Mus musculus: one gene and its partner. The protein of the gene in region 2 interacts with the protein of the main gene of each other region in a pairwise test. Links are inferred from orthologs where the notes say so. Each region holds a gene or a part of one and is shown on either strand. Other genes may lie near its edges.

Region 1 (4,235 bases), on a different chromosome or scaffold from region 2:
CTTCACAAAGAACTGTAACATGAAGCAAAAGAATTGTCTCTAGGTCAAACTTGCCTGCCTGTTTAGACGATAGCTATGAAGATTCATGTTTCTTTTTTTGTTTATGTTACCAGGAAGCTCAGCCTTGAGCCAACATTTTAAACTTGCAGGTTTCCTGCTAGGCGATGTCTCTTTAAAAGTTCTCTCAAGTCAGGCTTTAGAAATACACTGACTCTTCTGTATTAACAATTAATAGCACCATCCAGTATCCTTTCTGGAGCTAGATGGGTATGGGCAGTTATGGAGTAGTAAAAGCCATCAGATGTCTGTAGATGTCAGGTTCTGTAGATGAACTACCATGCTAGATGAAGAGCAGTGCTTTGCTCCAGAAGTTTGGCCTTGCTTCTCATCCATCTTTCCATCGCTGCAGGGCCCTCTATACCCTAGTAGACAGAGCAACCTGGCCAGCAAAGACCTCCATCTCCTCAGCTACTGCCTCCTCCAAGCAGCCTTCCTTGATCCCCAGGGGCAGGCACTAGGCATGGAGCCTCTTCCACTTGCTCTGATGTGCCACACCCCACAATGTAAGAGCAAACCAACATAAAGAGTAGAGGCCGAGGAGGAGTCAGAAAACAGCTCCCCAGGAAGCCAAAGCTATGTTGAGAGACCCTGTCTTTCAAACAAACAAACCCCCCCTCAAAAAAACCAAAAAACCAAAAAACCCCACAAAACAAACAAACAAACAACAACTAAAACAAACAAACTAAACCCACCTAGTCAAAAGGTCTAGAACAACCAGCCTCCAGTGTGCTGTTGTGGCTTTCCAGCAAGTATGGTACCTGTCTGCCCACCCTCCCCCCTCGGCCCCAGTGGAGTAGTAGGTTGCCACAGAAACATCTTAGGAAGCAGCGGCTGGCATAGTCTCCAAGTGAGTTCTTTGGAACGAATCTAGGGAAGGAGGAAAAGAGTAAAAGGGATCTATCATTTCACACCCTGATGTCTTCATGCTCCAGAACCTACCAAGACCACCAACACAACCAGGACCCCAGTTCTGGCCCTAGATGCTTACGATGCTGGGCTCCTAGCCAGACCAGAAACGATGCTACAACTCCCGCTCAGCCTGTGCACTACAGTGTCTGCTGTCCCCACACCACTCCCTGCAAAGGCTTAGCTCAAAAACTACCCTTCTAGCCTCCCCGTAACTCCTTCCTAGACCTCTCTCCTCTCTGTCCCTTTCACAAACCGTTTAACTCCTCCCCCAGCCCAAAGCTGACTCTCAGGTGTGAGGTTCAAAGAGACCAGAAAAACCCCTGGAGTGGTGGTGTCAGAAAGTAATTACAACACTTGGGGAAGGTCTAGTCCAAGGCTAGCCTCCGCTACACAAGGAATTGGAAGCCAGCTGTGGCTAAGAGGGAATTCAAGACCAATCTGGGCTATATGCGACTCTTGTCTCAAAAAAACAGAAACAAATTGAATCAAACAAAATAAATAAAACAAACAAGGCAATCACCAAGAGCCCAACACTCCAGGGTCGGCAGTGTCTGCGCGGCAGAGTTAAATTGGTCCCAGAAGAGAGCCTCATGCTACCCTCCCTGATCTCATCAAAACCAAACAGTACCCAAAACCACTCCAGGAGAAGACATTAAAATGCAAATTTCTTGCTGCGCTTTTGGAGATTCAAAGAGCAGTTTCACATTTTTTCCGGGGTTGGGGCCCAAGAATCTGAATTTTAAACAAACCCAGGGAGGAGACGGAGGGGGAAGGGGGAAGGGGGAAGGGGGAAGGGCGAAGGCTCACCAAGGAAGATCAGAAATCTCGAAACCAAGATAGTATGTATGCCCTAGGTGGAGATGGCCCAGGAAAGCCTCCCGACTCCCCAGCCCGGCCTGGCAGCCTGGCTCGAGGTGCCCACTGGAGGGATGATGACAGAAACAGATGCATGCCCACCTGCGGTGCTACCCTATTCCTCTACCAGCGGACCTCTCAGTTAATGGAGACCGTTCCCTAGGGGCAGCCACAGGCCTCCAGACCCTCGCAGGAGGGGACTATGAAAAGACAGCTGACATCTCAGAATGCACCCAATGGGAACGGGCAACTCTAGGATCTTCAGCTGGGACCTGCACAGAGTACGGGGGATGGCAGACACGTGGTTTCTTGCCTCTGCGAATCTCCACAGCCCAAGGAAGGAGATTCGACCAGCAGACCCTGGGTAGGTGCCCTGGTGGGAGCGCGCGTGTCAGAGCCACTGATGTGGTGTTCTGCCCTGTCCAGGAGGGCTACAGAGCGGTCGCATTTAGTGGTTAAAGCCGGGTGAAGAGGAGGGCAGTGGACTTTGCCCGGCGGAGAAAGCCAGGGCACGGTCCCAGAGGGAAGGGGGAAGGGTAGAAGAGAAGGGACAGACTGGCGGACAGTTGTGCGCAGCTATCTCAGCTACGGTATCGCCACGGTAACCACCCGGGTAGGGTGTGTATGGTCCCCTCCACAAGAGTCATGCTGTGCTCGCAGGGATGTCACACGAGCGTCCCCAGGTGCAAGCTTCCCGGCGATCTTGGGAGTGAGCGTCCCGGGGGTCCCCGGAGAGTCCCCCATCCAGTCCCCGAGCTACCCGGCTCACCAGCTGCAGAAGCGCGAGCACCCCAAGAGCGGAGCGCACGAAGCCCAGATCCGGTCGCAGCGCAGACACAGAGGCTCCCACGCCCTGCGCGGGGCTGCTGGTCCTCGTGCTCACTTTCGACGGGAACTCCGCCATAGCGATCGCGAGCCTACGACGCTCTGGCCGCGCTCCCGGCGCTGCTCCGGGGCTGCGACTGCGGCTCCGGCTGCTGGCGCTGCTTGGGTACCCTAGACAGAACTCACAGGTGCGCGAAGCCCAGCCCCGCTCCGCCCGAGGCCCCGCCCCTTCTTGAGGCCCCGCCCCTTAACCCTGGGTTCGCCTGTTTGGATAGAGATTTTGAAGAAGTCCGTAGACCGATCTACAGACAGCCAGGCAGGAAAAAATAAATCCAGGTAGTGGCAACTGCTGCTGTGACTGAATCTAACAGGGCGAGGCAGAGTGACCAGGAGATTTTTAGATGGTTGTTTTAGGGTCTCTATTACGGTGGTAGAAAACCATGACCAAAAGCAAATTGGGGAAGAAAGGGTTTATTTGTCTTATGCTTCCATATCATTGCTCATCACTGAAGGAAATCAGGACAGGAACTCAAGCAGGGCAGAGACCTGGAGGCAGGAGCCGATGCAGAGGCCATGGAGGGGTGCTGCTTACTGGCTTGCTTCCCCTGGCTTGCTCAGCCTGCTTTCTTATAGAACCCAGGACCCAGGGATGGCACCGCTCACAATGGACTGGGCCCTCCTCCATCAATCACTGAGAAAATTCTCTACAGGGCTTGCCTAGAGCCCGATCTTATAGAGGCATTTTCTCAATCCAGGTTCCCTCCTCTTGGATTGCTATAGCTTGTATTAAGTTGACAGAAAAGGAAGGAGCACATTAGTCAAGGAAGACCTGTCAGAAGTGGTGACATTTGTGCAGAGGCCTGAATCTGTGAGTAGGAGGAAACCTTGGGAGGATTTAAGTGAGGAGCAAAGGCGCAGTGGCAGGACCAACCTAGGCAGTTGGGGAAATAGAAAGCAGGTCCCCAAAGGGACTGGAGCTGAGCACATGAGGGTGACACTGACCCCCAGTGGGTAAGGACCAGGTCACAGAAGCTGTGTAGGTGACTGTACTATCCTATGGCTCCTTGTGACAACTTATCACAAGCTCAAGGTCCTAACAAAAGTTTCTTCTCAGTGATGGAGGCTAGATATGCAAAGGCATCATCACGGAGACACAGTCATGGTGTCCTGAGCTCAGGCAACCTCTGGGGTACTTTTGCCCACTTTTTGTCTTGAGACAGGAGATTGCTCTGTAATCCAGACTGACTTCATGCTTTTGACATTCCTCGTACCTCAGGTCTTTGCAGGCTGGGATTACAGATGACCTGCCGGCAGGGGATTCTGGTACCCTACCTAGCTCTGCCTCTCCTCGTATCATCAACTCTCCTCTTACTATGCACAAGATATCTCTCTCTCTCTCTCTCTCTCTCTCTCTCTCTCTCTCTCTCTCTCTCTCTCTCTCTCATCTCTTTTGTAAGGATATGGTCATGACTATATTGCCCATCAGATAATACAGTTCAATATCCTCAAATCAGGAATTTTAAGTATTTATTCAATCACCCCATCACTAACATTCTGCAAAGATTCCTTCTTCTTTTTTTCTTTTG
Region 2 (4,196 bases):
GTGTGTGAAGAGGTGTGGGGAAAGCTTAAGTAACGATGGTCAGTTCTGTCTAAGCATGTTGAGTCTTTACTACAAATCATTCGTGCTTTACAATGCTCAGAGAAACAAGACCATGGGTGTCCAGCTCAAATCAACTTTTGTAAATCAAAGCAACAAAGACATAGCATTTCCAAGGATAGTTTTTACACTTTACACTTTGCTTTCCTCAGACAGTTTGCTAGTAGTGCCATTCCCTTTAAAACAGTTATCAATGATTGTTTTAAAGTTAATTTGTCTTTATAGAAATGTAGATTAATAACTGATCCAAGACAAAAGTAAGGTTTCCTAAAAAGACTTTCAGAGGCAATGAGACCAATCAAGAAGTAATTGGCTCTAGTCATGTCACCATTCCTGGATCTTCCTGTTAGGGAGAGCCTTCTGTCAACTCTTAGACTTGTATCTGAATCTAAAATAAATGAACCTAGGGTGACTCATACACAGATTGACCATTTCTTTCTGAGAGAGACACAGTTAACAGAATAGTCCTTACATGTGTTTGCTCATTGGTTGATATGCTATTTATAACTGGCAGATGCATAAAAGCCTTGCAAATGCAACATTAAAATCCTAGTGGCAAATACACTTACCCCAAGTGCTATTGCTGCATCTTTAACATTGCTTATTGCTGCTCCTAGAGCTGGATTTACCGTTGGCACATTTTCTCGACCCAGCTGTGTGTTAGGGAAGATTCCTGGAGATGTAATGAAGGAAACTTGCCCAGTCTGTACTTGGTTTCTTACGTTTAAAAAATTCAGAGGTTGTGGAGGATGAGGAGCCATGGATCTTGTTGGTGGGCAAGGATTTGGAATGCCACGCGTTCCAGGGTAGGTAGTCTGGGAAGATGTCATTATGTCACCTAAGCAGTACAAAACATACAGAAATAACACATTTACCAGGAAGAGAAATTAAAGGACATCTTGTCATCAATTTTTATGCAAATAGGAGAGAGAGCAAGTGAGCACATACTGGCTAGTGACAAGAAATAGATGCAGTTTCTAAGACTAAATATTACTCCAGCTATTTTTAGTCTCCAACTTGATACTTCACTTGAGTAGCTTTCTCAATTAAATTTCTGTTAGCCTGTATCTATGCTGTAAAAGGATAGATGTTGCCATTCAAATGGCCAGAATAAAGGTTGAATGATGACAATTTTCATAAAGCCATTGTAAGAGTTCCCAGCATAGGTCAAGAGCTTGGTGATGGCAGTGACTATTGTGTTATTAGAACCCATCTTATTTCTTATTATCTTATTTCAAATAGAGGATGCGTGTCCATTTGGTGAAATGGGTTGAACTTCAAAAGGTCAATGCCAAGAGCAAGGAGACAGGAGATGGGTGTATAAAGTCAGAACAAGAATTTTCCTGGGCTTTAAAAAGTATAGAATTAAATGATTGTTCTATGAGAGGGGAAGGAGAGGGAGGGACACACACACACACACACACACACACACACACACACACAGTGTGTATTTTTTGTCTCTGATAACTTTGCTAGGGAAATTTTAAGACTTCTTATCTGTGATCTAGTTTTTGAACATGGAAGTTTCACATGGAACACAGACTATTAATACCTAACTCTGTAAAACACATCTCAGGATGGATTTGTGCCCAAACTGCTGAAGTTTTAGAAAATGATTAGAAAATGACCCAGTTCTACATTTTTTGGTTCATATGAAAATGACCTAGTATGTAGATGTGGAAGTGATGCCAGGGAAACAGGATTAAGTGATCCTCCAATCAAAATGAAGATCCAAACTGATCCTTCAATCAAAATGAGGACCCAAACAGATCCTCCAGTCAAAATGAGGATCCACATAAAGGGAAGACAGTCAGCTCAGTGCTGAGTCTATTGTCATAGTTTTGTTTCTTTTCTTTTCTTCTTCTTTTTTTTTTTTAAAGGAGTTAGCACATTTTTTTCTCTTAGCAAATGATAAGCTATTTACAACCAGCTTTTTTCTGAAAAATGAGAACTAACAACCATTTTCAAGCACACAAACACATAAATAAAAACACCAAAGTTCTGGTGAATTATAAAGCATAAGGACTATAGCAATAGGAGAAAAACCAGCTGGTGAACTAATCCAAGTAAAGATGGGAAAATATGACTGTAATTTCTTACCACCTCCTTTCCACCTTTGTTTGAAAAGAAGGAAAATGATACTATTGTTTAGAATGTATTATATAGCATATAATGAAACATCACAGTGACTCATAGACACTTCCAACCGAATCATGCAGGACATATGTCTGAAAATATCATCTTTCAGCAAATATTAAAAAATGCTGACCCAGTGAAGGGTGATTTCCCAGTCTTCATTTTCCATAAAGAAGCCTCTTTAGTGAATCATATTCAGAAACTGTGTGTTTCAGTGTCTCTGTTATGCGTGGACCCTCGATCACGACACTGTCACCAAGGGTTCCTGCTTGCCGGTTACTATTCATGGAATTTCATACATGTGTATCCACTATCCTTAGCATTAGATTTACACACATGGGTATGTGTCTATAGATTCGCTTGAAGTGCCTTTAGTAGTAATTGTCTTGTTTCTCTCCGGGTTTCTCTTTCATTCGTCAACTGTCTCAATACAGATTTAAGAATTGGCTTCACCTCTCCCACCCAGAGAGTAGAATGTGGCAGCAAACCCACCCAAACAGATCAGCCCCGTTCCATACCCACCGAGAAAGGCAGGGTGGTTTCAGTGGACCTATGCAGCTTCCCAGAACCTCTGGGCTCTCTCTTTCTCAGCTATATGTTCTGCTCTGATCTTGGATATTTATCTGGGATTTATAAGTGCCTTTACTTCCTTGCTTCAAGCGAGCCTATCCTATCTTTATATAGTTCCAAAGTCCTTTCATTAAGCACTTTCACCCCATTTGTAAATTTGAGAATGCGTTGTAGTTTGTATTTATGCAGGGAAGTGTGTTCTGACTCACTTATGCTGGGAAGTGACACTTCCAGACACTTCTTGTTCCTTTCTCCAGCCCCTTAGCTTTCTGACCCTCACTAAAGCAGTGCCACACCACGTTCTAGTGCCTTTTAAACCAGACAAGTACAACTGTAAAACACAGACAATGAAGAACAGAAAGAGGAGGAGTAAAAGTGCCTGCACTCTGGACACCTGGACACTGCTACTGAGGATAATTCATCAGGATTCGCAAACTTTCGTGTGCCAGGATTCGTGTTACATACAGATGTACATGGTGTTGTAAAGACTCACCAAATTAAGGTAGATTGTGTAGGTTTTCTATACTACACCCTTTTAACTTACCATTTTATTAATACCTTTACAGGTCAATCAACCCTTATAATTCTCAATACTGTTATGTTATAATTTTGGAGGCAGTCTAACTATTCATGTTCATTTGTGTCTTAGAGGTGCAAACAAGTGTCCTAAGAACAGAGATCCAATGTATATTCTTGCCTTCAAAAGCCCCATGGCTGTCAAGTTTCACATGTGGTGAGATCCATTGAGCAAGTGGGATCAGTGTCAATTCTTTTCACACACACACACACACACACACACACACACACCACTACCACCACCACTACCACCACCACCACCACTACCACCACCACCACCACCACCACCACCACCACATGAATGGTTAGGAAAGAATGGTTTTTGAAAATATTGTTTTTATTTATTCTTTGAGAATTTCATACAATATATGCTCATATAATATATATGGAAAAGAATATTTTATTCTTTTTTTCCTTTCCCAAATCCTCTCAGGTCCCCATCACCTCCCCAACCACCCGACTTCATGTTCTTTCTCTCTCTAAAAATGGATAGCCAACCAACCAACTGTGGAGTCCAAGTAGGTCAACTACTCCTGAACATGTGGCCTGTCCTGGAGTATGGTAGATACCAAGGGCCATTCGGTTGAGGAAAACATATTTCCCTTCTCCTAGCAGCATCAATCGTGACTAGCTTCCTGGCTAGGAGTAGGACTTTTTAAAAGAGTTTGCTTTTAAATTATCTTTGTGTATTAATGGTGGTTTCCTTTCTCTTTTGGATTTGTATTTGTATGTATTTTTTCTAAAGTAGACAACATGATGCTGGAGCATTTGTGATGTTATGGACCTTAGAATGTGACAGTTTGAGTCAATGGTCCTGCTCAAAGGATGGGCATCATTAAAAGAACAAGAAATCAGAA

The links. The genes of interacting proteins can lie anywhere in the genome.
Region 1: the proteins of Ms4a12 (region 2) and Pllp interact in binary tests that used the Homo sapiens proteins (3 or more experiments, as listed by UniProt). The two-hybrid records come from large-scale screens. The link is inferred for Mus musculus from reciprocal best matches to the Homo sapiens genes MS4A12 and PLLP.

What each region holds. Positions count from the first base shown.
Region 1 is NC_000074.6:94,693,443-94,697,677, forward strand, and holds the start of Pllp (plasmolipin), read right to left. Parts: upstream 2,801-4,235; 5' UTR 2,729-2,800; coding exon 2,594-2,728; intron 1-2,593. UniProt on the Homo sapiens protein: Main component of the myelin sheath that plays an important role in myelin membrane biogenesis and myelination. Plays an essential function in apical endocytosis. Regulates epithelial development through the regulation of apical endocytosis.
Region 2 is NC_000085.6:11,229,654-11,233,849, forward strand, and holds the start of Ms4a12 (membrane-spanning 4-domains subfamily A member 12), read right to left. Parts: upstream 2,801-4,196; 5' UTR 2,716-2,800; intron 896-2,715; 5' UTR 888-895; coding exon 627-887; intron 1-626. UniProt on the Homo sapiens protein: May be involved in signal transduction as a component of a multimeric receptor complex.